4 linked regions of the Rhinolophus ferrumequinum genome follow. The protein of the gene in region 3 binds, or shares a complex with, the protein of the main gene of each other region. Links are inferred from orthologs where the notes say so. Each region holds a gene or a part of one and is shown on either strand. Other genes may lie near its edges.

The links.
Region 1: the proteins of SMC4 (region 3) and NCAPH2 are in contact, whole or in part, in a cryo-EM structure (PDB 9F5W), measured with the Homo sapiens proteins. The link is inferred for Rhinolophus ferrumequinum from reciprocal best matches to the Homo sapiens genes SMC4 and NCAPH2. Residues at the interface, in NP_001002800.1 of Homo sapiens: Ile100, Leu101, Gly102, Pro103, Ile112, Gly113, Pro114, Ser117, Gln1151, Met1152, Leu1155, Phe1227, Lys1228, Ser1231, Ile1232, Phe1235, Tyr1236, Glu1239, Gln1240, Asn1253, Asn1254, Phe1256, Glu1257, Arg1261, Gly1264, Ile1265, Tyr1266, Lys1267, Thr1268, Tyr1269; in NP_689512.2 of Homo sapiens: Arg494, Ile495, Trp498, Glu499, Thr501, Val502, Leu505, Leu506, Gln509, Glu510, His512, Phe547, Cys550, Arg551, Met553, Leu554, Leu557, Gln558, Ala560, Asn561, Tyr563, Val565, Glu566, Ile567, Gln569, Leu573, Glu574, Ala576, Val577, Asp578.
Region 2: SMC4 (region 3) and NCAPD2 share a complex: the UniProt entries of both Homo sapiens proteins name them as parts of the condensin complex. The link is inferred for Rhinolophus ferrumequinum from reciprocal best matches to the Homo sapiens genes SMC4 and NCAPD2.
Region 4: SMC4 (region 3) and NCAPH share a complex: the UniProt entries of both Homo sapiens proteins name them as parts of the condensin complex. The link is inferred for Rhinolophus ferrumequinum from reciprocal best matches to the Homo sapiens genes SMC4 and NCAPH.

The regions. Positions count from the first base shown.
Region 1 is NC_046293.1:253,008-260,515, forward strand, and holds the start of NCAPH2 (condensin-2 complex subunit H2), read right to left. Parts: upstream 3,003-7,508; 5' UTR 2,862-3,002; coding exon 2,754-2,861; intron 1-2,753. Other genes in the region: LMF2 (lipase maturation factor 2), read left to right, coding at 3,205-3,298, 3,843-4,096, 4,276-4,304, 4,446-4,645, 4,720-4,898, 5,263-5,404, 5,556-5,681, 5,751-5,856 and 6 more. UniProt on the Homo sapiens protein: Regulatory subunit of the condensin-2 complex, a complex that seems to provide chromosomes with an additional level of organization and rigidity and in establishing mitotic chromosome architecture.
Region 2 is NC_046293.1:23,751,703-23,759,047, forward strand, and holds the start of NCAPD2 (condensin complex subunit 1), read left to right. Parts: upstream 1-4,330; 5' UTR 4,331-4,469; intron 4,470-4,552; exon of another isoform or gene 4,553-4,592; intron 4,593-5,340; 5' UTR 5,341-5,363; coding exon 5,364-5,490; intron 5,491-7,345. Other genes in the region: MRPL51 (39S ribosomal protein L51, mitochondrial), read right to left, coding at 2,649-2,845, 3,237-3,347, 3,422-3,500. UniProt on the Homo sapiens protein: Regulatory subunit of the condensin complex, a complex required for conversion of interphase chromatin into mitotic-like condense chromosomes.
Region 3 is NC_046285.1:79,424,156-79,431,851, reverse strand, and holds the start of SMC4 (structural maintenance of chromosomes protein 4), read left to right. Parts: upstream 1-4,696; 5' UTR 4,697-4,852; intron 4,853-5,955; 5' UTR 5,956-5,960; coding exon 5,961-6,099; intron 6,100-7,011; coding exon 7,012-7,190; intron 7,191-7,656; coding exon 7,657-7,696. UniProt on the Homo sapiens protein: Central component of the condensin complex, a complex required for conversion of interphase chromatin into mitotic-like condense chromosomes.
Region 4 is NW_022680356.1:1,959,384-1,966,791, forward strand, and holds the start of NCAPH (condensin complex subunit 2), read left to right. Parts: upstream 1-4,397; 5' UTR 4,398-4,530; coding exon 4,531-4,549; intron 4,550-5,493; exon of another isoform or gene 5,494-5,691; intron 5,692-7,408. UniProt on the Homo sapiens protein: Regulatory subunit of the condensin complex, a complex required for conversion of interphase chromatin into mitotic-like condense chromosomes.

The sequences.
Region 1 (7,508 bases), on a different chromosome or scaffold from region 3:
CAGAACCCTAATGGCTTTTTGCCCTCCTAGGAAGAAACCCAAAATCCTGAACAGCTTCCCACGCTGGCCAGCTTCCCTTCCCATTGCCCCCCTACCCAACGCGGGCATGCGCGCACACACACAGCTACTTCCAGGTCCTCCACTGAGCCAACATGTTCCCACCTCAGAACCCTGGAACACTGTCTGTACCGGAACAGCTCACGATGACAAGGCAACTCCTTTCATCCCAATGTTCAGTCTCCCAAGTCACACTCTTCATGAAACCCTCAACTTTTCTTTTGAACCACTCATCAGTCTGTGGTTACACAAAGACACACAAGGGGTGTGTGGGGGGGGCGCCTCTGCCATGAGCTGGGACTTCGAGCACATCACAGAATCTCTCCACAGAACTAACACTTGGGCTACCGGGGCTTCTGTAAGCATTAGATGAGCATAGACGTAGGAAGCACACAAAAAAGGGCTGGCATAAGCAAGCACCAAATGCGTGATGTGTGTACGACCTGCTGTGGTTACTGCCTCAGGCTGCGTCTCCCTACAGGAGTGGCAAGTGAAGCTTGCCACTATTTTCTCAAGGTTTAACATGGTTCTTGGTACACGACACTCAACAACAATGAATAAATAAGTGGATGAAAGAGGATAGGTAGCAACATGATAAAATCTGTTTGTGTTTTTTTTTAAAAAGAACATTCTGGTAGCTGTGTGGAAAATGAAATGGGAAGAAAGACAAAACTAGAGAACTCAGGACTTCACAGGGCAGGGAAGGTTTGGAAGAGCAGACAAATGAAGCAGAGGGGAGCTGACCAAGCCAGAAGTAGAATTACCAGGCATCCCCAAGTACCCTGCTTGAGGTAGAAACCTGAATCCACAGTAGCCCCACCCAGCACACTTCTCTGCATTTTCTCAGCAGAGTGTGTCTCCAAGCAGAGGTCGATTGTCAGATCAAGTGTTCATTTCACAAACACTTATTCCATACCTACTAAGTGCTGGACATTTTGCTTAGCAAAGGGAAGAGAGTACAAACATGGTCACTGCCCTTACAGAATTTATATTCTAGGGTGGAAACAGACCATAACCAAGTAAACAAGTTAAAGAATAGCTTGTAAAAAAAAACATTCTAAAGTATGTAAGGTACTATGACACAACTATTCTAGACAGGTTGGTCAGCTGACATGTAAACTAAGACATAAAGGGTAAGGAATTAGTCATAAAAAGACTTGGGTGAAGAATACTCCCCAGGAGGAACAGAGAATATAAATACCCTCAGTCAAGAACGAGATCGGCTGTTGTAGGCTGACTGGCTCAAAAGAACAGTGAAGAACCAGAGTGAAGGCTAAAACAGTAAGCAGGGCCAAATTTGGGGCAGAAAGTCTGGATTTTATTCTGAGCAATGGAAAGCCACTGAGGAGTTTTAGACAGGGCAGTGCTACAGCCTGATAATGTTTAAGTGTCACACTTGCTGCTGGATGGAACACTGATTGGATAGGACCAAAAACAGCAGTTGGGTGCCTAGGAAGGAAGGTTTTACACGAATCTTAGTCAGATGGTGGCCTGGACTATAGGAAAAGGAGAACAGGTGAATTTAAGTGAAATCCTGGTGGTATGAATTCTGGTGGTGAACTGGGTGTGGAGTGTGGGTTTCACTAAAACTGCTCTTAGTTTTCACCTTTGGTTGAAGAGTGGTGCTCTTTACCAAGATCGGAAGGGTGGGATTTGAGCAGGAAAATAAAATGCTCCACTTTAAATACATTAACTCTGAGATGCTTTGTGACATCTACGTGGAATGTCAAGTGAACAGCTGGATACACAAAACAGATTCAGAGGAAAGATCTGGGATAAGGACATAAACTTGGGAGTTGTCCTCATACAGCAATATTTAAAATCGTGGAAATAAATGAAATTGTTGCAGGGAAATGTGTAAGAAGATGCCCAGGACCGCTCTGAGCAGCTCACTGCTGATTGCACAGGAAAGAAAAAGTAGGCAATGAAACTGGAAGAAAATCAAAACACCAAAACCTGTTTCAAAAAGGAGGGTGTGGTCAACCAACAAACGCTTCTAGTGTCCCCTGGACTTGATAGATCAAGCCAAGAGCAGTCCAAGTGGACGGAGGAATATAAGTGAAGTGTAAAAATGGAGCGGACAGCTCCTTAAGGAGGGCTAGACACAGCTGTGAAAATATGTAAGAAAGGTTCAGTGCGGACGGGATAAAACATGGCAGTAGCTTGAAACTGGTCTGAAAATCCAAGACAGAAATCCCTCTGGTCAATAATATCATAATAACTATGTGTGCTGACAGATGGTTACCACACTTATTGTGATGATCACTTCGTAAGGTGCACAAATGTTAAATCACAATGTTGTACACCTGAAACCAATATAATGTTGTATGTCGATTATAACTAAAAATAAATTTTAAAAGAAGTCAATCCCTCTTTCATCGTGATCCAGGATCTCTCAAACATCCAAAAACGCACAGAAATTCTATTCTATTACATTAGGGAAAAATGCTGGTCATCACCCACTGAACCGATTTCATGGCTCACAATGGGTAGCGACCTGGAATGACAGCTCCAGGCTAATTTAATAAGGGATGATTTCGGGAGGCAGCGATGGAGTTGGCAAAAAGGGAACGCGCCTGAGAATGATCGTCGCCAGACCGCCGGATATACACAAACCAGGAGGCCGCAAGGCCGCCCAACAGCCCCGGGCCCGGCGCCCCGCCCGCCCAACGCCACTCCCCCGAGGCGGCCCTCACCTCCTCCAGATATTCGCCCAGCTGGGCCGCCACATCCACCTCCCAGTTCTTGGTGAGGTCGCGGATGGGCTGCAGAAGGTGGGCGAAGCGCGCCTCCACGTCCTCCATGTCTGGGAGGGGCCGGGGCGGCCCAGAAACCGCGGCGCAGGCTTCCAGGGGGGCCAGGGTACTCAGCTCGCCACTACTTCTGGCGCCATTTTGCTATTCCCGCCCAGGAAAGTACGTAGCGCGCGGCGCCGGGCGCACATCTATGACGTACACGGCCAAGGCCGGCGAGGAGCGAACCCGGGCGCTGCGCAGCGGACTTGGGCCGTAAGGGCCGCGAGGCACGCTGGAGGAGGGGCAGACGTAGGGGCGGGGCGTGTGCTGGGGTCGGGGCGGGGCTAATATGGGGCGGGGCTTGCAGTTGGACCCACCCTCGGGCTCGTGTCCAGCGGGCCGCATAGCGGACATGGCGGGCTCCCGGCTCCCGCGGCAGCTCTTCCTCCAGGGCGTGGCCGCCGTCTTCTTGTTCGCCTTCGCTTCCCTCTACACACAGATCCCGGGTGAGGGCGCCGGGCTCCGCCACCCCCCAACCCGCAGGACCCAGCCCTGTGCCCTGTCCTCTCCCCACCCGACACTCCGCTGTCTCGGGGCGGGAGTGAGGGCCAGGCCTTGATGTGCGGGGTAGGGGGCTGCGGTTCGTGTCCTGCGGGCAGCAGAGCTTAGGGGGTAGCAGAGTTTAGGGGGTAGCAGAGCTTGCAGTGGTCCGTTTCCCGTAGGGTTCCAGGTTCTGACCTGGGGCGGGGAGCTGGGGCAGAATCCAGAGGGAGGTGGGCCCAGAACTGGTGAGGCAGGTAGGAGATAAGGCTCTGACCTGGAGGAGATTGGACCTGGGCTCTGCCGGTGGGATCCTGGCCTGGGGAGTCTGGGCAGGGCTCCTGGTGCGAATGGAGCGGTCAACAGGTTCTGACCTGTTGGGGTAGGGTCTGCAACATCCTGATCTGGGGGGGGGGGCGCTGCAGGTCTTGCCTGAGGAGGTAGATAGGTGGGGGAAGTCTAGCCTTCCAGGCAACGTCCAGGGCCTGGTCCTGACATGCCCTCCCACAGGCCTATATGGCACTGAGGGCATCCTACCTGCGCGGAGAACACTGCGGCCGCAGGGCAAGGCGCGCTGGCAGCAGCTGTGGGAGGTCCCAACGCTGCTGTGGGAGGCGCCGCGGCTGGGACTGGACACAGCGCAGGGCCTGGAGTTGCTGAGCCTGCTGGGCTCCTTGCTGGCTCTGGGTGCCCTGCTGCTGCGCCGTCTGTGCCACCCCCTCACCTACCTGCTGCTCTGGGCCGCCTACCTGTCAGCCTGCCAGGCAAGTGGGGCTGCCTCCTGCCCCCCCACACCACTGAGAACCTTGCCACCAACCACCCCAGCCTCATCCATTCCCTCCCCCCCCCCCCCCCCCCCCCCCCCCCCCCCCCCCCCCGTCTCTGCCTTCTCTGCTTCCCCAGCCGTACAGCCCCTGCTCCCTGATAGCTCTTCTCCTTGCAGGTGGGCCAGGTGTTTCTGTATTTCCAGTGGTGAGTGACTATTGGGTGTGGGCCTGCAGGAGGCTGGGGTGGGGCAGGGTGTGTCTGCCTGTCCCCGGAGGACCCTGTGACGGACCCTGTGACGGGAGCACCTTGATGGGGCGGCCCTTGTGCTCTTCCTACTCCCCATAGGGACTCCCTGCTGCTGGAGACTGGCTTCCTGGCCGTGCTGGTGGCCCCCCTGAGGCAGCCCCCCTGGGGCAGGCTGTCAGAGGCCTCGCCCCACGAAGGCCTCCCCTTCTGGCTCGTGCGCTGGCTGCTGTTTCGCCTCATGTTCGCCTCGGGTGTGGTCAAGCTGACCAGCCGTTGCCCCGCGTGGTGGGGGCTTACTGGTGAGGGTCCCAGACTGGACATGGGGCATTCTTGGAGGCTCTGCCCAGCCCTGACCGCCCACCGTCACCTGCAGCCCTCACCTACCACTACGAGACACAGTGCCTGCCCACACCTGCCTCCTGGTTTGCCCACCACCTGCCCGTCTGGCTGCACAGGCTCAGTGTGGTGGCCACCTTCCTCATTGAGGTCGCGGTGCCCCCTCTGTTCTTCGCCCCGACTCGCCGCCTACGCCTGGCTGCCTTCTACTGCCAGGTGGGTGTGGACCTGCGCCTCAGGGAGACAGGGACATGGCTTTCCTCCACACAAGCCAGTGGGTCCCGTTAGGGACAGGGTGGCTGCTGCCAGCAGTCAGGAAGGCCTCAGGCAGAGGAACGAGTTAATTCAACATGAAGGTGTGCCTGTGGGCAGGGCACAGCCTCGCTGGAGGGCATCAGTGGGGCAGGAGGGGTGCTGAGCCTGGGTGTTCTCCTGGTGGTGCTGGGGAGTCATGGGAGGCATGAGCAGGGGTAGAGGACAGAGGGAGCGGGGCCAGACAGAGGTCAAGGGGTGCCTGTAGGCGTGGGCTTCAGGCCCTGACAGGCCCGGTCCGTGGCGGCCCCGGGGGCTCTGAGTGCAGGTCCTGCTGCAAGTTTTGATTATCATCACGGGCAACTATAACTTCTTCAACCTGCTCACCCTGGTGCTCACCACCACCCTCCTGGATGACAAGCACCTGGCTGCCGAGCCTGGCAACAGCCACTGCAAAAAGACAGCCACCTGTGAGTGACAACCAGCCATGTTCACCCTGCTGCCCAGCAGGCTGTGTCCTTTCCTCGGACTCATCTAGGTGGCCTCTGCTCTGGCTCCCCCCAGCCCCTTGCCACCCTGCAGCCCTCTTCCCAGTTGACCCCTGACTGTCTTGCCCTACAGTCTGGCTCAAGGCCCTGCTGAGCTTGCTGCTGGAATTGACCGTTGGCGGGCTGCTGGCCTACGGCACCGTGCACTACTTTGGCCTGGAGGTCGACTGGGAACAGTACACTGTCCACTCCAGGACCAGTGAGTGCCGGCTGGGCGCCCAAGGGCAAGGGCTGGCCCACCCCTCCTTATACTCCCTTCTTTCCACAGCCTTCACCTTCCACCAGTTCTCCCAGTGGCTGAAGACGGTGATTCTGCCCACCATGTGGCTGGGGGCGGCCTCCCTCGGCTGGGAACTGCTGACGGCCCTCTGGAGGTGTGTGAGGGGGGTGGGGGGTAGAGCTGTGCAGAGCAGGGCTGACTGCCCTTCCGTCCCCCAGGTGGACCCAGGTGCGAGGGTGGCTGCGGAAGCTCTGGGCTGCCGTTCAGCTGTCCATCTTTGGCACTGCCACAGTGGCCTTGTTCACAATCAGTCTGGTGGGTAGCACTTCACAGAGGGCAGGGGGAGGGGGCTGGAGGGGGCAGCACTGAGCCTGTGCCCACCCATCCCCAGGTGCCATACTCCTACATGGAGCCCTCCACCCATGGGCGCCTCTGGACCGGGGCCCATCGCCTATTTGGCGCCGTGGAGCACCTGCAGCTGGCCAACTCCTATGGCCTCTTTCGCCGGATGACTGGTCTGGGTGGGCGGCCTGAGGTGGTGCTGGAGGGCAGCTACGACGGGCACCATTGGACGGTGCGCTCTCCCACAGACCCCTGCCTGGGGAGCCTGGCAGGCTCCATGTCAGGGAAACCCATGGGTTTGGCATTGGGGGGACAAGGGGGGTCCTGGGTCCAGCCACCCTCCTGAACACAGCTGGGCACACAGGAGATCGAGTTCATGTACAAGCCTGGGAATGTGAGCCGGCCGCCCCCAGTCGTGGTGCCCCACCAGCCGCGCCTTGATTGGCAGATGTGGTTTGCGGCCTTGGGCCCGCACACGCACAGCCCCTGGTTCACGAGCCTGGTCCTCTGCTTGCTACAGGGCAAGGAGCCAGGTAAGGCCGGGATCAGAGGGGTGGGGGCGGAGCTTGCTGGAGAGGCGGGGACTTGTGGGCGTGGCTGAAGGAGCTGCCAGTGGAGCTGAGCTCCCCTCCCCACAGTGATCCTCCTCATCCAGAACGATGTGACCAGGTACCCGTTCCACAAGCAGCCGCCCAACTTCGTGCGGGCCCAGCGCTACAAGTACTGGTTCTCACAGCCGGGGGAACAGGGGTAAGGCTGGGGCACTGGCGGCATGCCGGGGAGCTGGGCTTGGGTGCCACCTGAACGCCCCTTCCTGTTGCAGCCAGTGGTGGCGACGCCAGTGGGTTGAGGAATTCTTCCCACCCGTGTCGCTGGGAGACCCCACGCTGGACATGCTGCTCAGGCAGTTTGGTCTCCAGGTAAGGAGTCATTAGCCAGGCTGTGGGAGGTAGCAGGGCTGACCTCCACCCACAGGGACGACCCCCATGGACCCTCCTCAATCCTGCCCCAACAGGACAAGAGCCCACCCCGGGTCCGAAGCTCCAGCAACACCCTCACCCAAGCTCTGCACTGGGTCCGGAGACAGCTGTCTCCCCTGGAGGCCCCCACCCTGCTCTGGGGGCTCATCTTCACAGTGGGGGCCATTAGGATCGTACAGGCCCTGCTCGGGCACCGTCCCTCCGGGTCCTGCCCGGCAGCCAGGAAGGAGAACCACAGGCCAGCACCCAAGGACTCCGGAGTTACCCCAGCCCCCACCAACAGCAGCAGTTCCCAGCCGCCCCAGCGGAGAAAGTAGCATGTTCTGTCAGCCTTATGTCTGTCCCAGGAGGGCCAGGGTTCCGAGCACACCTCTGGTCCTCTGGAGCAGGACATGGCCCAGCCACCTGTGCCTTAGCCCACTCTCCTGGCAGACGCAGGTCGGGGTGCCAGCCTCAGGGCACACTCTGGCTGCCCCGGTGCTTC
Region 2 (7,345 bases), on a different chromosome or scaffold from region 3:
CTTTAACAAGTACTTATTAATCGATAAAGTCCTAACAAAGACATGAAATGTTACTGAGGTTAGACTGAAATATGGCTGTTGATACTTCATCACATCCCTACAATTGCATGCTGCTTCCGATCCAAAAATGGAGCGCATTTCCTCATAGCCTTGAATCTGGGCTGGCCTGTGACTTTCTTTGACCAATACAATGTTGCACAAGTGACACCATGTGATTTCTTACCTATGTCTATCAAGCGTTACAACTTCCATTTTTAACTTTGGGATCAAGCCTCCACGTAAAGGAGTTTGGGTTAAACTACAAAATAATGAGACCATGTTAAAAAAAAAATCTTAGCCACCCCAACTGGAACCAAACATGTCAACAAACACATCTTGGACATTCTAGCTCCAGCCAATCTTCCATCTGAATGAATGCAACATGACTGACCCCAGCCCACACTAAATGGAGAATATGCTTGTTGAGACCAGGTAACCCAGAGAATATGAATTAATAAATTTTGTTTTCAGTCACTAACTTTCAGGGTGAAGTTATATAACAATAAGTAATTGAAACAAGTATCTACTTGAAAGGATCTGGATCAGATAAGAGGCCTAATCATCCTAATTCCTCTACCTTCAAATCCAACTTGTATATGTTAAGTAACTCATTTTCTTTAGTTTGCAATACTACTTTTATAAATAAAAAGTTAAAATAATTTTTAAAACATTTCCATTCATTTCTTCAGGTTTTTCTAATCCTTGACAACTACACACATTCCAGGAGTGTCATTACCATTTACACTTGCCAAACTCTACAAAATATTTTACATGCATAATTTCATTTATTCCTCCAATTACCTTATGAGGAAAGTATTGTATTATTCCTACTTGACAGGCTAAAAAAAAAAATCTAAGGCTTAGCTACTTTGCGTAGGGCCACGTGAATAGAGTGGTAAAACTTGAGTTTAAACCCAGACCTGTCACTCCAAAGGCCATGTCATTGATCAATAGTCTATACCAGAGACTTACCCATATCAACCTAATAACCCTCCCAAGAAACACAAATAGCACTTTTAACCCACATAAAAGATTTCTTTATAAGCAACACATCAAATACTTTTCCTTATTTCATTCTGCAAATATTTGAAAGCCTCATTATTCCAGGCACTGGAGGCATACTAAATCTAATCCTAGTCAGTACATGATTCTAGAAACTGTAGCAACATTTTTCTCCTCTCAGTTGAGTAATGCCAAGCTTATTTAATGTGATTCACAGGCAAGTAAACTATTAAAAGAAAAACAGACAGTGGCATACCATGTTTTCATTATAGCTAGACCTACCTCGCCAACTTCTAGCACATACTGTGTTCTTTCACTATGCACCACTGATCACTCTTCTCTTCCCCCCTTAAAATGTTCTACCCCTTTTTTCTCTCCTTACTGAAATCTAGCATCATCTATGAAGCCTCTCCGAATTAGGCCAAATACAATTTTTACCTAGGTCACTTATTGTCCACATCAATGGTGTCCTAACATGGCTAGTTAAAATTACCTGAGGGCTTTTAAAATTGTAATTACCTAAAATTAGAGACGTCATACTTTGAAAAAGCAAAAGCCTAGAAACAATCTAAATGTCTATCAAAATAGAATTGGTTAAATCATTATGGCACATGTGAGGATATAAAATAATATCCAAGTTATATTAAGTGAAAATGCAAGGTACAGAACAGTGTATATGGAATCCAATTTTTTTAAGGAGATAGACATATAGTCTTTAATATAAACCTGTACATGCATAGTGTATGTCCCAAAGGAGTAAAAAAGAATCTTGTAAGAGTGTTTGCCTTGGTGAAAGAACACACACAAAAAAAGGCTGTGAGAAAACTTTTCATCTGATTACCCTTTTGTAATTTTTAAATTTGCATTGTATGTATGGATATTTTATAATTATTGAAACACACACATATAGACGCATAAGACTCAGCTCAGCTCTACAGATCACAGATCTTTGGGGACAGGAACCAGGCTTTTGAAATTGTTAAACCACCATGATTCTGATGATCAGTCATGCTTAGGAACTACTGATGCAAACCATTAATGCCTCATATTAAAGTGTACATGTGAGACTATGACTTTATATCCCTAACTAGAAAAGCATGTTGGTCGGGGAAGAATATACGACACTTTTTTTCCCCCTACAGTTCTCAGCGCAGAAAAGGTACCCAGTATTTTTGATGAGAATAGTACAGAATTCCATTTTTCTGTTATGTTTCATTCCAACGTGGGAGGGTTTTTTAAAATACATTTAACATTTAGCATTATGGAGCACTTAAAAATTACCACTTTCAATACATGAAACCCAAAGGACAAGAAGTGCCAACAATAATTTTACTTTTTTAAAGGCCATAAGTATGGCTAGACTGCAAAGGACAATCGATGAAGTCCAAACCTAAGACAGTAAGACTTAGGGATGAGTCAGACTTCATAGTCTACATGAATGAGTAAAAGTAGCATCTAAAGGAAAATAAAGTATATGGATAACAGATTCCAAAGAAGCCCCATTTTATTATGGAGAGCACACAAATCCCTTTACTCATAAGGAAAAGTACTGTTTCCTTTCTCCTGGGTGATAGATATGCCTCTTCCACAATTCCTAGCTTTCTCTTCTACCGGTACTTTCCATGTCGGTTAAAGTGTTTGTAGAGATAGCTGATGCGTTTGTTAAGGTTGTGCAGGTCATCAATGAACATCCGATTTCCAACCATTTTCTTCTTTCGGATACAACGCTGCAATTCATTCCCCTTCCAGCCTCGAAGCCATCTGGGGCCCTTGATTAGTTCTTTGGGGTGCTTTTCAAAATTCCCTGTGTAACATGAGAGCACATATTAGCCCAGACAACCCAGCCTCGACCAGCTAAGCCTTCAGGACACAGTTGCACCTTTCTGAACAGTACCTATAGACAAGCCACATTACAGTATCAAGAGACGCAAATTCCGCCATTGCCATTTATTAGCTTTGGAAAAATTACTTAACCTCCCTGTGCTTCAGTTTCAGCACCTGTAAAGTGAAGAGGTTATCATGATTAAACGAGTTAATACATGTACAGCACTCAGATCAGTGCTCAACACAACATAAACAAGCCACATAGGTGCTCTTACTATTGAGCACAGTACCATTCCTACACAGGTGGAAAAAAAGAGCTGTCAAGGCGTAACTGCCATTCTTAAACTATGGACCATGAAGTTGAGTCTTACCCAAGATCCCGACGTTATCATACACCCCGAACATGGCCCTCTTCTCGTTCCAACGATCAACTACTTTGGGGGGCGGGAGGGTGAGTCTTACGTGTAACAATCCTGGAACACCTAGAGATGGAGAAGAAAGGGACTGAATCTGAGAAGCAGTTCCCCCGGGGCGTCTTTCTACGTCCGCCACTTACCCAGAGAGAAGCTTCTGCAGGCCGGGGGCACCCAGCCCCAAAGGCGCCTGCCTGCGCCCCCAGCGAGGCTCCCTGCCATTGTTCTAGTCTCTCCCCTACAACAGGACACCTCAATAGCACAGAGTGAGGGCCAGACGTGGCCTCCAAAGAGATGACAGGAAACGTCAGGTAGCGGCCTCACACGGCTCTTAACCTGACGCAGCCATCTTGGTCCTTACCCAAGTAGCTCTGGGCGCAGGGCCCGCCTATGCTACACCTTCCCCAACCACAAGCCCCGCCTTCCGGGTTCCGGGGCAGAGGCCTTGACACACACCCTCCGGCGTTCACGCACCCCGCCCCGCCGAGGCGCTTCCGGTCTGCGGGCCGGAATCTTGAAGCGCCGGAAGAGCTGAGGGGCTCGCTTCATCATCGCCTAGGGCGTCCCAAAACTGAGCTTCAAGAAAATTCATTCTTTCGTTTCCTTGGCTGTCCCTCTACTATGAAGGAGCTGAATATCCAGACCGTGGAACCCAGAGCTTCCTTTCTCTGTGCTTCACAGCAATTTTGAGCTGTCGCTGTTTCTATTACCCCTATTTTACAAGGGAGGGAATCCGAGACTCAGAGAGTGAAGTGACCTGCTAGATGTCACATACCAGAGGAAATGGCGAAACCTGGATTAAAGCCTAAACCTAAATCCTGCCCTGGGGCTGACTGAGTAGGTCACCACCCTAGGGACACTACCACTGCCCAGCTAGAAAAGTGGCATCTTGGGCAGGAACTGCCGGGGTCTCCTCCCCACCGAGCGGGACAAAGGAAGACCCTGAAGGGGAGTGATCACCCGCAAGACCAGGAGCCCGGGGAGTCGGAGCCTAAATCTAGGTCCCGCCCCTCCCTAGGCGATGCGGCCGGGCTTTTCGGCTCCTGCGCTGTGATTGGCCGGTCTCTTCAGAGAGCGTCGCGATTGGTCACCTTGCGACCGTTGAGATTTGAAGTCCACGATTTTGGCTTTGCCCGCGCGGCGCCGCGCCTGGCTCAGAGGCAGGTTTTTGCCTCCTCCTGCTCGCGATTGGTAGGTTTCTCGGCCCTCTTGAGCGCTGCCTCTCTGATTGGTGCGTATTGTGCACGCCCTGTTTGTGCCCGCCCTGTTTTTCCCTTCATTTCAGCCCCACAACCGAAGTCTGAGGAACGGCAGGTGAGGTTCTCCGGTACAGTGTGGTGTTAATGGATAGCAGGGAATAAAAAACTGGGAAAATCGGGTACAGGGTAATACTAGGCAGCGTACGAGAGGCAGGGAAATCTAGTGGGTATATCTTTGGGGTACGATGTGGTAGAAACAGTCTGACATATCCGCAGCAGAATTTGGGCAGATCGCGTAAGCTTTTGTAACCTCAATTTCCTCATCTGTAAATTGGGCTGTATTATCACTCCAGGAGATTGGGATTTGGAAAATTAGATCAGATATGCTCTATTCAAATAGCCTAACAGAACCTGGCACATAAACAGGTAATGTTAATGCTCTCCCATTCTGGAGCCAGGAAACCCACTAGCCCATGCCAGGCCACTGTTCGGGCCTCAGGCGAAACGTTCTATTTTAAAAAGCTTTGCCCATAAAAACGGAAATAATGCAAACATAACGCATTGATATGCCACTTTATTTAAACTTTCATGTCCCTTGACTCCTTTGAAAATGAGCAACTGTGATCAGAGATTAGCAGTCCCGTTGTACAGGTGTGGCCCGGAGGGTTAAGTGACATAACCAACTGATAGAATCATGACTAAAATTAGATTCGTCTAGGGTTGATTTCACATCCCCTAAGATGTCATCAGCACGATGTAAGACTAAAAAGCATTATGTATTGGAGGGAGTTGGGGCTAATAGAACCATAAGAAAAGACAGTCCTTAGATGCAGATCCTGACCTATTTGCTGTTTGGTTTCCAGCCCTGTGAACCAGTTGGAGAAGGATGTCTCCCCAACTTTATGAGTTCCATCTGCCCTTAGCCCCAGAGGAATTGTTGAAAAGTGGAGGGGTGAATCAGTATGTTGTGCAAGAGGTACTGTCCATCAAAAATCTTCCATCACAACTTAGAGGTAAGAGTGCATACCTGCCACTGTGCCTAGCATTTCAAAATAACCATCCCACATGTAAATTCTATTGTTTGTCTGTTCCACTACATCACTATCGCCTTGAGGGCAAGGAACATGTTTTTCCTATTCCCTATTGTTTTCTCCCTAGTATTGCATGGGATGCATTACAGGAAGAGTGCACTCATTGACCACCTTATCTTGAGTATTCAATAATTAATCTTGGTGTATATGGGGAAAAATTATTTTAGAGCTTTATCTCCTGCCATATGCCAAAATAAAGTCCTGGTGGATTTAAGAGCTATTGGAGAACACAGCTTTCTCCAAATTTCTGGGACTTTACCTGACCTATTTCAAGTAACACTTTTAGATTCTGGAACTCTTGTTTCTAAGAGTATGCAATAATCAGAAAAAAACAATATATAAGAGTACGTACAGCTGCAACACTGTACAATATATGTGCAATATATGTTTCCATCCATGGAAACCTATAGATGATCAAGAATAATTTAGGCATTATCAAACAAGACTCCATAATGTCACTATACTTACTAGAGGTTGTCTTCTATCAGTTAGATTGCTTTAGAGAGGTACACAAAGTAGAGCTTGAGACTCTAGAGCCAAGCTGCATGCATTTGAATCCTGGCTGTACCACTCTGACCTTGGACAAGTTACTTATTCTCTCTGTGCCTCAGTTTCCTCATATGTAAAGGTAGGAATAATAACCTACTTCATTTACTATATCCTACAACAAGAAGAGTTAGTTAATACAGCAGTTTGAATATCACTCCATCTTTATCTCCTCTTGGCCTTCCCATGATGGTTGCCAGGTGGCAGTTCTTTGTTCTGATGTCCAGAGGTAGAAAAGGGGATTTTCCTATTTTGTGCTTTTTCTTCTTTTCCTTTAAAAATTTTACCTGAAGCATCCCAACAGATTAGCCAGAATTGGATCATGTGCTATTTCCCTAACTAATTCCTAATAAGAGAAATGGAATTACCCAGATTGGCTCAATTGATCAGTGATTTCTTAGGAGGCTTCCTAAACCTGAACATATCACCATTTGGTAAACAAGGAATAAGTGGAATGTGGAAGTCGACTGATGGGTGGCCAACCAACAGTGTCCACAGATAAACTATTCTCTCCATATTGGGTATCACCAATTGCACATGGCTACACACTAGCAAACTATTATTCAGTTATTATAATATATTATTTTTTAAAATGGATGATTACTCTCTTTAAGAATCCTTTTTTTATATAATTACATTGCTTTTGGTGTTTAGAACCCTAAATACCAGTTCTATAAATATACAAGATCAAATCATTTAATTTTCAACATGTACTGATGATATGCTATGTGCCAGGCACTGGTGATACAACAGTAAACAAAACAGACAAGATGACAAAGTTCTCTCAAGGCTGTCAACAAGTAATAAATATGAAGTGTGTCAGATGGTTATAAATGCCAACAAGAAAAATAAAGCAAGATAAAAAAGATACAGTGTGCCAGGGTAGGGACTGGCATTTTATGTTGGATGATCAGAGAAGGCTTGCTGATAGGTGTCATTTAAAAGTGAGGGAGTATGTGGGATTACATCAAACTAAAAAGTTTTTTCACAACAAAGGAAACCATCAAAAAAACAAAAAGGGATCCTACTGAATGGGAGAAGATATTTGCCAATGATATATCCAATAAGGGGTTAATATCCAAAATTTATTTAAAAAAAAAACCTCACTCAACTCCAAAACAAATAACCCAATTAAAAAATGGGCAGAGGACATGAAGAGACATTTTTCTAAAGAGGACCTACAGATGGCAAACAGACATATGAAAAAATGCTCAACCTCACTAATCATTAG
Region 3 (7,696 bases):
TTTCTCTGGAGAGCCCTAATATACCCATTATTTCTCTGACCTCATCTCCTGTTTTCTCTCTCTTTTCACTCATACTGCTCCAGTCGCACCAGCCTCAGTATTTTTCTTCTAACATATTAAGCATGCTCCTGCCTCAGGGCCTTTGTACCTGTACTCTGCCTAGAATCCATGCCCCCAGATAGCTTCACGTATTACTATTCTTCCCGTCTTTATATGTTTGTCCAAAAGTCGTCTTCTCCGTAAACTCTTCCCTGCATTCTCTATTTAAGGCCATCTGTCATACTATGCGTTTTACTTACTGTTGCTCCTTTCTAAAATGTAAGCTCCATGAATGTAGGAATTTCTGTCTATTTTGTTCACATCTATATCCCCTGCAACTAGAACCATCCTTGTATACAATAAGTGCTCAGTAAATATTTGTCCGATGAATGAATGGGGGAAAAAATGGGGTCAGCAGGCATAGCTCATAAATGTAGAACTTAAAGATATATAAATATATAGAGAATATAGAAATAGAATAGTAGCTATGAAAGCCTTTTAAACTTGGGTAGACCCCTGTATGTTTGTGGGGACAAAAGAGAAGGAACCAGTGGATAGGGATAGATTGGCAATACTATAGAAACAAATAACCAAGACAGGACAGTCCCCTATGAAGTCATTTGGTCAAGGGCACTGATAATTTTTAAACACATAGATTGACAGTTCACAGAAACATAAATACAGGATGTCAGTGGGCAATGAAAAACAATGAAACAACGCTCAGCCTCAATTATAATTAAAAAATGAAAATTAAAACAAATAGATACTATTTTTCTGTTTTCCTTCTAACATACTAAGCATGCTCCTTACCCACAGTCTTTAATTTTAGAAGATTTGAGGCTGGAGTTACTGTAGCTTTCTTACCACAGCAGGGAGAGAGCCTGGAGGTGCCAGAAGCCACTAGTAGAGCCTGAGAATAATGCCAAGATAATGGTATGCAAAGCAGAGCAAAGAAAGAAACCAAATCCTGTTGTCTTTGTTTGAACACTGAATCCAGTTATATTCATCTGATTTTCTGGTTATGGGAGCCATTTTTTTTTTTTTTATCAAGACAATCTGGATTGGGTTTTCTGTCACTTATAATCTAGAAAGTCCTACCTGAGACATTACTATAATTATTTCTTCTCCCTAGATTCTAAGAATGCCCATTTTCTGGTGCCGTCCTCTCTTTACTCACAACCTTAAAAACCTAATCTATTTTTAGTGTTCCAAGTGTTATTCTTGTAACACTGTTTCATCCTATTTTCTCTTGAGCTATATTCTCTACCACTACTGCCCACTGGACACATCTTTCCACAATCCCAACAAACATGAATAAAAACAAACTCATCTTTTAAAATGGTTCTTCCCCCTAAAACTGTTCTGCTTCTTCACTTCCTATTTTTTCTGCATTAAGTTAGGTGAGAGTTTCAACAAGCTTAATGTATTAGGGGGCTTATATTATCAAGAGGGATATTCATTACTATCTGTCCTGTGTTTATATCCAACGTATATAGACAATATTCTCTAAGCACTTATACATTACTTACATAAATTCATGTTTATTCATTTTATTAGCTAATATCTAATTAATTCAAATATTTACAACTACAGTCTCGATTAATATTTTTAAGCATTTACTCGCAAACCTAATTTCAGACTTAATGAAATGTTATAACCACGTTAGAAGGCAGATAAAATGTATATTATTATGATGACAAAATCATGCACTTAAAGAATTGCAAACGTGCATTGTAATTCTAATTCTAACTTTTCTCTGAACTTATTCTTATTTCTTCCTGTGGGGTACAACTTTACTTTTAAAATGTGAGAAGTGAGGGTTCTCTTCTCAGTCTGCCTGAAATTATAGATAATGGTTGTTAGTAGATGATTTTGGAACCAGGAGGATCAGACTTAGTTATACTTTCCAAAATGATTATAACCTAGTCCATTCCAATTAGACCAGCCTTTATTTTATAACTAGACAGTGTTAATTTCATGAGAAATATCAAAAGTATTGGCAAGGATCAATTATGTCTTTATTTCTTGGAACCCTAATCTCTTCTCAAATGACTTCTTATTCTGAGTGTCCTATTGTTGTTTTAGATTTAAGTCTACTTTGTAGCTGTTATGTCTTTTCTTCATTAAACAACCTTGTTTAAGTCTGTTTTGAAAATATTCCTTCTGAATGGGGTGTGGTTAGTTTCAACTAAATCTAAAGCCATCAGTCACTTTATTGGTTTATTGAAATTACATTTCTTTCCCATCAGTCATTAGACTTACCATTATTTACAGCAATCATCAAAGGCAGTAAAATTAGGATTTATATGTGACTTATCTTTCTCCCTGTCCCTTCATCACTAATTCAAAGATTCACAAAGAATAATATCTGACTTTAAGGGTTTATACTCTTAACTTTGTACATTAAAATCTATAAAAGCTATAGATTTTATTTCCTCCAAAGTGTGTTGGGATTTTTTTCCATTCTACTGTGTAAGCATTTCTCACCTCCCACATGGAGGGACTGTACAGTAATAATCTAACTAAGCCATGTCTGATCTCAGTTTCTTTAACCTTTAACACATCCCACATAGCTACTGTTTTTTTTGTTGTTGTTGTTTTTACCAAGTCATTCCTTAGCCCAAATTTTTCATGTTTCCTCCATAACATATCTAAAATCCTTGACTTGGATTTCAAGACCTTTCTTCATAAGCTAACCTTCTTCTAACTTGATTCCATTATGCATCTTTCACACAGTATCAAATGCTTGTAGGATGTGTGCTATGTGAACAATCATAAATAATCCCGTGAAATAGGTATTATATGCTGGTTTTATAAATAAATACTCAGAGAGATTGATAAATTGAATAAATTATCCAAGCATGTGGCTAAAAATGATGGGATTTTGGATTCTGTTATGTTACATCTTTCTACTACATTGTGCTCTGTCCCCCACATACACCACTCAACTTGGTCTAGTCTGCTTTTTCATGGTTGATATCTCACTAATTCAAGTTTTACAGCTTTACAAACTTCAAAAATCCAAAGGATTCCAGAAGCTCTCAAAGAGAATCCCTACATCTTTTCCCCCACATCTTTTTGATACGCCTACCAACCACATTTTTTTCTTGAGCTATAGTATCTGTAGCCTGTCTTATGAAAACAATTAATCCTTTTTTTCAACTTCAAATATAAAGGTACATTAGGATATCAAGTCAATGAGTATTCAAACCACACCAGTCTCCAAGCTCACGAAATTCTTACACTTGTGAGTGTCCACACCCCTTTTTGAGAATTACTGCACCTGATTTTATGCTCCTCAGAACAAGAGTCACAACACTTAAATAGAATGGCAATATAAATTCATTCATTAAGCAGATTTATTAGTGCTTTAGTATGCCAGGCACTAAGTATGCAAAAATTTAAAAGAAAAAATAAAGGAGGCCCCCATTCTCAATGTCAGAAGAGTTGCTGAATACTTACTGGAGATAGTCAGATCAACCAGTGGTTAACATTGTGGGGGATTAGGACCACGTTCCAGAATCTGATCAAAGTTCTGGGAAAACTAACTCCCCAGAAAAATGAGCGCACATACACACACACACACACACACACACACACATAATTTTGTATATCATTTCGGGGGGGGGGGCGCTATGAACTCCTCTGAAGCCCAATCACCAACCCCTGATCCACAGACTCCAGATAAAAACCCACTGACATAACTAAGTTCTCTGGGAACAACAATATTTGCTTAATAATCCTGATTATGTCTTGCACAGTGCGATGTACACAAAAGCTACTTTAAAAACATTTTCTCATAAAGATAACCAAATGACATCATCAAATCGTTTCTTCCATAACGGGGTCTTTCAATCAAATGATTTCAAAAGCCCGAAAACCCTTTTCTCTAGTGACACTTAAAGATCTAACACCAATAACTCGAAATTATTATTTTGCTAGTAACATGTGGACTACACCATCATTCACCAGTCCAGGTCTTCTCTTCTCCTTGTTGTCCCTCGATTCCCTCCAAACTCTGGGCTCCTCCTTCGCATCCCAAAAGCTACGTACAGAGCCCCACTGCCACCAGGGAGATGGAAAATAATAGATGCTCCCCGCCGCACACACCCTCAAAGAAAGTGGGATCCAGTGATGGCTACAATTTCCAAACCCTTTCTTCACCACATCCGGAGGTGAAGAGATTTACCTTACGTTCCAGAATTGCGGTGGCGATTGCTCTCACAGAGCTGGGGACCAGTTACCAAGCCTCCCGACCTTCCCGTCACCATAGTGACTTCAAAGAGCTACGCTCATTCCCTCTTCCCGCGATACTTTCCCGCCGCGCGTCACCCGAGCGGGCCTGAGACCCCGCCCCTCAGGGAGCCCGCCCTCTCTTTAAGGGGCTTTATTGGACGACTGAGCCCCGCCTCCAGCTTTGGGCGGAACCCTACTCTTATTTTTCTTTTTCAAAACTCTCCAGGTTTTTTTTTCAATATTTTTTATAAGAGTGCTGTTGCCGTAGGCCCCAAGGAACACAGTGTTTTGCTCTTCCTCTTCACGTAGAAGAAACGTCCCATGCCACCTGGGTTCCCCAGGGCCGGAGTTTGCGCATGCGTGTAAGCGACCAGAAGATGGCGGTGATAATCGCCGCACTTTTTTTTTTAAAATTAGTGGTTCCCAGAAACCTTTGCGCGCATTTGTAACGAATTTCCGTTCGAGTTTGTATTTTAGGCGCCATTTTCGAGTGAAGGACCCGGAGCCGAAACACCGGTAGGAACGGGGGGGTCTATACAACCGTTTCCAGCCTTGGTCTGAGTGGACTGACCCGCAGGTAAAGTACATCTTTTCCTAATCAGGTTGTCACACTCTCACTTCCTACCCCGTCCGCGGGTGCCCGGAAAGTAGAGGCCTTGAGCAGGAGCAGCCGAAGTCTGGGCTGAGGCTGTCGCCGGGAGATCTCTCTCGCTGTCACCCCTCCCCCCGCGGCCGCTCCCCGGCAGTTCGGGCTGCCTCGCGCTTCTCCCGGGCGCTACTTCTGTGATCTTCTTAAGCATCGCTCGGGGCGGTGGAGGGGGCTCTAAGCCTCGCGGATCTCAGAAATCCTGGTGTCTGTCGAGGAAAGGGCGTCTCCCCCGGACCCTTTGCCTTCTCTCTTCTCCCGAGGGACCAATCACCGGGTCCTAGCCCTTACTGGTGACCTTTCGTAGTTCATTACCCAACGGGATTCCGCCGCGGGTCCCGGAGAGACACCCCCGATCATCGCTGGCGTCCGATTTGGAAGTCCCGAGGGGTGGACCCCAGCCTCTGGCCGCCCTGCCCAGTGGGACTGTGGAGAGGAGACCTCGAAGCCCCCGAGCCGTCAACGGCGCCAAGAGCTAAATGGCGGGGAGAGGACGGGGCAGCCAGTCGTCCTAAGCTTAGCCTTCTGCTCTAGGAAGAGTTGATAGCCCCGCAAACCTAAAACTAATGCGAACTCCTCTAAGTCTGCGCTTGCATCCCTAGCCCCGAGAACGTGGGAATGTCAGTAAATGCCGGCGTATGGAAATTACTTCGTTCAGAAATTACATTCAGATATTCGTATACACTTAAACTGTGGGCGACGGGGGAGGGGGCATTAAAAAATAAGAACCCAAGTAGTCTGTGGTGGCTTGATTCCCAGGCACGTCTAGGTTTTCCCACTTGCTTGGAACTTGTTTAAGAAAACGAGCCCCGCACCTCTAGCACTTGGGGTTTGGGTGCCTTCTTGCCCAAGGACCCGCTGGCGTTGAGCGGTGTTTTAAAGACAGGCTCTCGGGAACTGGAGAACGGAGTTTTATCCCGAGTGGGGCGGGGTAGAGGCTGAGCCGATCACGTCGCGGGAGCCGGCGGGGAATGTACCCGCGCGGCCCTGCGGCCCGCGGGCTGACTTAACTCCCGGCTCTCACCCGGCCCCAGCGACCATGCCCCGTAAAGGCACCCAGCCTTCCACCGCTCGGCGCAGAGAAGAAGAGCCGCCGCAGTCCCCGGACGGCACCAGCAACGACGCGGAGCCCGAGCCGCCGCCGGGCCGCGCCGGGCCCAGGGCCCCTGCTACTGCAGGTGAGTAGCCGGCCGAGACTGGGCCGGAAAGCGCGCTGGAGGACTCGAGTGGGTCCGTGCCCAACCCGGGACTGGGCCGTGTTATTTGGCGCAGGAGAGAGGGGCTGCGCGTTAGACGTCTGAAGGTCGCGTGTCTGCCCGGTAGATCAGATCAAGAAAGCGATTCGGGGATTTTCAGAGATTAGACTCTTCGTGCAAGTTCGGTGTAACGGTGCTTGAGGGAATGGGGGCGAGTAAATTGCTTCAGTTGTGAATTTCTGTTTGTGGCCTTGTATTTCCGCGGAAATCGGCTCGGTCAGCCAATAGCCAGTGGACTTCTTTTCAGATAGAATCAACATGACTATGTTAATGTGATGAAAAGTTGCTTGACCCTCACCTCACTCCCGTGGTCTTAAATTGCGATTAAAGAGAAGATGATAATGTCCTCGAAACCACCGTAACATTTGTGAGTCCAGTAATTAGATGACCTTACGAAACCCTTCTGACAGTGTCGCTGGAGATCTAGAGTGTCCAAAGTTAAGGTTCCAGATGACCAAAGATACGGAGAGTTGGATAGAGCCTTAGGGATTTAACCACCTGTTTAGGCGGTGAGCAGGGAATCAGGCTGTTGTGGTTTTACCAGATTTGCTTTATAATGTAGTGTTTTGACTCCTAACAGGTATATTTCTATAGAATTTTGAGACTGGTGGCATTTCTTTTAAGAATTTCTTTTTTTATAAAACCAAGATGAAAGATTGTCATCTCCTGTGAGCTTAGGACACTACTATATTTAACTGGAAAATATAGATTCCTACGTTTCATAAGTAACATCTCTCCAGAGATTAGCAGGCACTGGTCCTCAGAACTAATTGCACTAATGCAGGCTTTCCCTCCACCCTTTGCCTTCCCTTTCCTTTCCTTTGACTGACTTAGAGACTCCAACTGAGGAAATTAATAATCGAAGTTTAGAAGAAATTTTGAATAGCATCCCTCCTCCCCCACCTCCAGCAATGACCAATGAAGCTGGAGCTCCTCGACTTATGATAACTCATATTGTAAACCAGAACTTCAAATCGTATGCTGGGGAAAAAATTCTCGGACCTTTTCATAAGGTATTTGACAATTTTAAATAACTGTTGGGAAATCATGAGTCTTTATTACAAGATGTTTCAATTTTGTAACTGTTAGATTGATCCTGATTGATTCACACACGGTGTATTTCCTATGCTTTTAACAACAAATTAGTTTTTGTTTTATCTAGTTATCGTTGGTACCTTTGTAGCTATTATAAAGTTTTTCTCACTGACTAGAGTTGGTGAGTTATTCGTTTGAAAAGAGTATTTTCTCTTGATTAGAATGAATTTTGTAAAAAGTCTGTGTTAGAAGATGGTCTTATTTAGAGTGTTTGACGCTTCTGATAAAGGTGTAAGAAAATTTAAGTTGTGTTATCTTGTAGCAGTGAAAACTTAAATAGTTGTAGATTTGCTGTAAGTAAAAAATCAAGGCATTTAAATTAAAATCAGTAGTATGACCTTTTTAAACTTCATTTTAATTTTTTTTTATGTTCTTTTTATGCAGCGCTTTTCCTGTATTATTGGGCCAAATGGCAGTGGCAAAT
Region 4 (7,408 bases), on a different chromosome or scaffold from region 3:
CGGTAGTGGGTGCGGTTGTTTGGGAAATCCAGTGCTGTTCCTACCTCGCGTGCCAGAAGATCGGGCCCTACGTTTCCCTTGACCTCAGGGAGGTTTAGGTGCTGGCATTGGGGGCTTTGGTTGTAGATCCACACCCTCCCCCCAGCAAAAGTAAGTCACAAGTGTCCGAGAAGCTGATGCCACTGAGTACTTGGGGCTCCCACTGCACAGTAGCTCCCGTGTTGTCTGCTGGTTTCTGCTGATGCTGCTTTCAAGTTCAGATGCAATGATGGTTGTTTCTGTGCTGGTAGGATTTCAGTGTTTTATAAACTTTCATATGCTTTTTGTTTAGAAAATAATTTGCTGGTGTTTTCATTCTAAATCAATAAAGGAGGCTCATTTCTGTATCAGCTGGAATCTGTGCGTGAACACCCGGCAGATTAGTATCCTCACATGCCTGTTCCCCAGAAGTTCACATCACCCTGAGTGGCTCCATCCAGTACAGTCTGCTGTTTCTTAGTGTACCTTGAACCAGTTTGCCCTGTGGTTTCCCAGTGGCCTGGCTAGTAGCCAGGAAAGACTAATTCAGAATGTTTAGGAACGTCTAAGTTACTCATTTTCATGGTGTCCAAGCCAAAATGTCAGCCAGATTAAAAGATCTTATTGGCTGTGTACAACATGCAAAGTTCTAGAGGCATAAGTCTGTCGATAGAGAGAAGGTGATATGTTCTAGGGCTGTGGGGTTTCTAGTCTGTAAGGGGCAAGAAAGAAAACAAGGTGACAAGCGGGCAGAAGACTACAAAGGGAACAGTCAGCACAGCTTGGGTGGGGCAGTGGGTGTAAGAAAGAGTATAGAAAAAACAAGTCGTAATGTGAAAAACAGAGCTGTAGTGCTCTGGGAATACTCTTACAATGAAAGGGGAAACCTCCAGGTATTAGGACGCTGAGCTTTATTCTAAGACAATACCTGGCTGGCACCCAGGACAGAACACTAGTTACGGGAATGGAAATACTAGTGTTCATTGAGCATTGCCAAGGGTCCAGGCACTGATCTAAATGCTTCACATCTGGTAACTCATTTAATCCTCACACTCGAACCCCATGAAGTGAGTGCTCTATCTTATCCATTTTACCTAAGAGGAAACTGAGGCACAGAAAGGGTACACAGCTTCCCCAAGGTCACACAGTAAACAGCAGAGCCAGCACGGTCTTGGGAATCAAACAAGATGTAGGGTTTAAAGTGCTTTGAAAAGCAAAAGGCACTGTATTAATTTTAACATAAAAGGTGGTATGTTGTTTGGAAATTCCAGAAGATAGAAATTGTTGGTTCTTGGCCCAGTCTTTAGGAGGTCATGCATTTCGTATCACATACAAAATTAAAGGCATTTGCTCAGAGGCCAAAATGAATGTAAAGCCATTCCAACTATGTGCACCTTGAGCCCCAGTGACTAAATGGTTTATATCACGAACTACATCATGACATAAGCCAGCGGCAGGCTGGAAGTTCAGGGCAAATTTGAAGCCAAAAATTGCTTGTTGAGGTAGCCAACTTACAATACCATTGTCCCTCACCTAAGCTAAGGCTGTTTGCCTTCATTTGGGGAAGTAGAATCTTAGTGAGGAGTGAAATGAGGAAGGGGATAGCCCCAGCACCGCTGTTCTGCAGACGGGTGGGGGAGGGACCCCACTACTTTATTTTTGTACAGAGGAATTGAGTTTTACACACCACTGACAAATCATTCAGTCTTTTTGGTACCCTCCTAGTCCTAACCTCCCAACCCAAAAGAGGGCATTCAGAGCGGGAGGTGAATGACCTGCCTGCACCTGGTGGACCTGGCCCCTGGAAATGGAGATGAGACGCAGGGGGTGGGGCTGGCCGTCCCTGCACGCAGAGCCCCCAGCAGTCAGCTCAGGAGGCTCCATCACAACCACATGCCTCACCGAGGCATAGCCTCATGCTTAACTGAGTGGTCACCTAGTAGCCTTCCTTTGCCAGGAGTTCCAAGCCAGCTCTTCAGAGGCTCCTGATTCCATGCTACCTACTGTCTTCCCAACCCCCACCGCTCTTGGTTGGTGCAGACATGGAATCCAGAAGCTAGCCCTCCTCTCTCAAATGCACGAAGCACAGAGGGCACAAGTAAGTGAGATGACAGTGACCCTAGCATACTCTGAGCCCATGTGCTCATGGGCGTTTACTACCTACACCCTCATAAAGCCCAGCAAAAGGGGTATTCTCATCACTGTTTTATAAATGGGGGAGAAGACGAGGCCCAGGGAAGTTAAGCTTCCCAATCCAGGACTTAAGCTTGTCTTCCAACGTCACTCATTCAATACACATTTAAGTGTTTGCTGTGTCCAGGGCTAACACCAGGCCCTGGGAAAACAGTGATGAGCTTCATCCTTATGGCGCTGTCTGTGGAGGGGATAGACATGAAACAGTCAACCCAGCGGATGTAAAATTGCACAGGTGACCAGTTCTAAAGCCTCCAGTACGGACACTTGAGTGTATCAGGGAAGCCCACCGCATGTGTACAGGTCCGGTGTGGGATGTGGGCGTGGTGAGGGCCAGTGCCAACGGAGGCCCAAGTGACTGGAGGGCAGAGAGCAAGGGAGGGCAGGGTACAAGACGAGGTTGGAGAGGATGCAGGGATGGGACTCCGCAGGACCTTGTAGACCACCTTGGAAGTTCCCAGAGCAGTGGGACTTTTGAATGTTTCGGACCTTGGGGAGGGAGTGTCAGGTCACATTGGTACTTAGCAACCATCACCCTGGGCCCAGCTGGCATGGGGTCAGAGTGGGTGTGGGACAGCTGCCCACCAGCAAGAAGGTGCTATGGATGAAAAGGAGAGATGCAGGATTGAAGAGATTTTTAGGAAGTGAAGGGAACCAAAATTTTGCTGCCCTGACGCTGCTCTTTGGGATATTGATTTCAAGCTTTTTATTAAGAAATGACTCAGAAAGAAACTTTGCCCCTCCTCCCCCTTTTCCTGCCCAAGAGATTCAGACAGAAACATCTGCTTCAGGAAGGGAGCCTGGGCTCAATCACCTTAAGAATCTTCACCTTAACATTAGTTAGGAAGACTCCATGCCTGTTAGCTTGTTACCCCCTCCTGTGTCTCATTGTTTCTGAGTTGCCCAGCAAGAATTTCCTGCCATGTATGTTCCACTCTTTCTCTACTCCCTGTAAGTTGCACTTTGTCACTTCTGAAATCTAATACCCCTTCCCCTGCCTTCTTCTTTGTCCAAAATGTCTTACATACCCAATGTTTCCTGTCTTTGGAATTGTCATGTTTATGTGAATTCCCCATGTGCATGTATTAAAATTTTGATTTTTCTCTTGTTAATTTTCCTATTAATTTGATTGTTAGCCCAGCTAGGAGAACTTAGAAGGTGGCGGAAAGTATTACTCTTTTTTAGAAGTAAAAAGACTCAAGAGTGGATTGTGTATGGAGAATGAGGCAGAGGGAGGCGTCCAGGATGGCTCCAGGGTGCTGATTTGGGTTCCTGCGTGGCTGGTGGCTGACATGAACACTGTAACTGTTTTCTTTCCTCTATCCCACACATTAAACATTTGGTGGTCACTGGGAGAACAAGTTCCTGCAAAAAACAAATAGGCTTAAAAGAGTGGTTTTCAATAAGGGTAGTAATACTTTTTTGGTTGCCAAAATGACTGAGGGGCAGTGGTGACATTTAGTGGGCCAACAGCCCTTATGCTGGAGCAGTCCTCCATCGAGGGCAAGAGCCCATCTGTCAGGAGTGTTTCACTCTGAATGCCAAGAGCACCCTTGACAAGAAACACTGTGTAAAATGCCAGATATGTGTTGTAACAAATTACAGGTTGTTCTAGGGATACTTGGAGGAATTGCCCTGGCCTATCCTCCTGGAATACAACTCTTGGGATCAGATGCAGCAGAATGAAGGGATAGGCGGCACATTGCGCCCGCCTCACCGCCGACCTTAACCTTTGCTGTTTTGAAGGGGGGCGGGTGTTCGTGTAGCTCCAGGAAGCTTTACGCAAGAAGCTATAGAAAACGATGGACTTCATTTAAAAAAATGTACATGGAACATTTTGCACCTGTCCTCCCCTGCTGGGAACGCTCAGTGCGGGGTCGGCTCCCCGCCTGCTCCGTCCCTCACCTCTTTAGCGTTGTGCTGCCGTCACAACACGGGGAAATCACCCTCGTTTCCTGGTAATCTGCCTCCCCCAACAGTACGTACATCCCTTCCGTGAAAGCAGAGCCCTCGCCCGCCCGGCTCTACGCTGGGCCCCAGCTCCCAGTTCCACGTTTAACGCTCGAAAGGACAGAGTTTCATGCTATCCTCGGGGGTCCACAGACCCCCTCCAATCCACCACAGGGCCCGAGCCCCCAGCTCTCATTCCCCGACGTCCCGCTCTGGTGCTACCCCCAGAGTCACTTTTCGCCCGGCAGGCTGGGCGGTCTGCGCCGGCGCGCCTCCGGCCCCGCCCACGTGTGACGTCACGCGGCCGTTACGGCGCGCCGGCGTCTCGGCGCGCGTTTTAAAAACAGTTTCGGAGAGACGGCGGGCAAGATGGGGCCTCCCTGCCCAGGTGAGTCGGGGCTGGCCGCGGCGCGGCGGGAAGGGCCCGTGCGGGGCGGGGGGCCCGCGGGCGGGCCTGAGCGGGAGTGAGGTATTCTCGGCCTTGTTGTAGGCCTTGTCGTTGGCCACGCTCTCCGCGGGCAGAGGGAGGCTGGGGGGAGGGGAGGGCGGGCGGTGTGCTCCGCCAATCAGGACGCGGTCTCCGCTGGCGCCTCACTGTTCGCCCGCGTAGGTGGGAAACTGTTTCCCCTGGGTTCCTCCACCGAGCCCGGTGTCTTGGGCATTCAAAAGGTGGTTTTCCTTGAAGGCATGTTAGTCCAGGGCCATGGAAGCGTTGTGGGTACCTCTGTATGCTCAAAACGCGTGCATTTGTTTTTACATTCATACAAGTATTGAGTGTTTCCTTCCGGCCAAACCCTCTGTCGGATGTAGAGATACACCAGTAAAGAACAAAGGCCAGATCCTAGCCTGTTGGAGTTTGTATTCTAGTTGGGGAGACAGGGAATAAATAAACGACATAATTTACAGATGAGTCTGAGTGCTGCGATTTGGTTGAGATGTCCTCATGGCTCTCTTCCCAGCCAGAGCAGAGTGAGGCCCCTTTAGGTTAGGTGGTTCACTTAAGATTTTAGCAGAGACTGGAGAATGTGTTCCAGACAGAGGAGCAGGTGCAAAAACTGGGCAAGCGGGAAGGAGCCTGGCATAGGCGAGGACAGAACCCAGTGACTACACAGTGAGCAGGGTCACTGAGGTGGGCAGGGCCTTTGTAGGTCTTCATAAGATGTTTCGGAATTTAGGGTTACGTTTTGGACATGGTAAATGACCTACAAGAGAGACAGTCAGGTGACGGGGTCAAAAAACACTTGGGTAAGACTTTGCCACTCGGGGGAGTGGCCCCTGGACTGAGAAATAAATTTGGACGTCATCCTCATAGGGCATAAAACTATGGCACAGGTGAGAACACTAGGAAAAGCCTGTAGAGAAAGCACTCAGGACCAACATTTAGAAGCTGGATACAACGAGTAGCTGGAGAAACTCAGAAGAGAGTGGTATAGGAGCCAAGAGTGTTTCAAGAAGCAGGGAGTTGTCAACTGTTCCAGAGGCTGCTGAATCTCAAGAGAGATGAGGCCTGAAAAGTGGCCACCGGCTGAGGTAACATGGTAGTTGTGGGTGGACAGACAGTTTTCATAAGGTGGTGGGGACGGGACCAGACCAGAGGGAGCTGAAAATGAGTAGCAGGGGAGGAAGCAGATACAGAAAGTGTTTTTGAGCTCAGTAACCTTATCTGTTGAATGAACACATGCGTGATGTCAAAGGCAGTGAGAGAAGTCCTCCTGCAGTGCTTCCTGTTTCTTCTGCCAAGGTCTCTTCTCCTAAGGTCCAGCCCCCTTCCTTACCTCGCAGCGCCCACATCCACATATATAGTCACAAGTCCCCTTGATTCGGTCTTGAAAAAAGTCTCTTCCTTCCTTTCCATTTTTACTTTTTTTCTTTTGCTTGTTTTGACCTCAGCTGAGAATTATATGAATGATATTCTTCAGCCTGTAGGAAGCTATCAAGGGAACAGTGAAGTTCTTGTATTTGTGTTCATTCTTTTAGCCCTGTTCTCCACTCCTTTTTCCTTCCTGTCACATGGGCAATCATTTAGTGTTACTGTGTATCACTTTTTAATATGTTTCTATAAAATATGTTATATTGTGTATATGTATTTTTTTCATATTGCTAGTTCTGAACCAGCTGAGATACACATTCTCATATGGCGGATGAAAAAGCAAACGTTTAGGCCATGTACTTGCTTAAAATTTCTCTAGCTAATAAGTGATGGATCTGGGGTTTGAAAACAAGCCTTCCAATTCTTAAATCTGGAAACGTTCCCACAAGATCTTTCAATGTCAAGGTCTTTCAGTGTCCTCATCTCTCTCTTCCCAATTATAGTTAGGCCACTGCACTCAACTAGCATAGTCACACCCCAGACCTCGTCATTGTTAATGGCTGCACCTTCTGTCATCTCAGTGTCATCTCAGTTTTATGACCCCACTTCTCAATACCACTCCTGTCTTTCCAACTCACTCCATCTTGTTCCCCGACTCCAGCAGTCTTTGACCCAGCAGATCTATACTCTTATTTTCACTGCCCCTCACCTCATGACCTTGTTCCCCTCGTTGCTTAGCTTACATGCCGTGGTCCGTCAGTGGAATCCCTCCCTCTCATACACCCGCACCCCCATGCCCTCTTCTTGCTTCCTTACACTTGGCAAACTCTCAACCTTGGTTAATTCCAACTCCGCCTACTTTGCCCAGCGCACCTGATAGTGAAGAGGACCCAAAGGCTGCCCAGCAGTCATGCCGTATCCCCTGGTTCACCCACTCTCCCTCTGGATGACTATTTCATACCCTCCTTTCTCTCCTGAAATCTCCCCAGCCCTCACCCTTAAGATGTGGAGTTGGGGGGTGGGGTAATTTCCTATTTTACTGAGAAAAGAAAAGCAATCAAGAGAAAAGAAAAGCAATCAAAAGAACATCCACAGTCCACCATTGCGGCTGCTCCCTGCCTGCATCTGGGCCTGTGTTCTCCGCCTCCTTTTGCTGTGGATGGGCTCTGCTCTCAGCAAAGGAACCCTTTTACCTGCTTGAGTACATTGTTCAGCAACTTTCACCCTTCTGCAGGATCTCTGAGTTATGTGCCCCCGCCAAAGATGTCTGGAACCTGTGAATGTTATCTCACATGGTAAAGGGGCTTTACAGGTGCCATTAAGGATCTTGAGAAGAGAGATTATCCTGGATGGTCTGGACGAGTCCAGTGTCATCACAGTGGTCCTTGTCCAGGGAGGCAGGAGGTTTGATCAGAGATGCGGTGACAGAAACAAGGT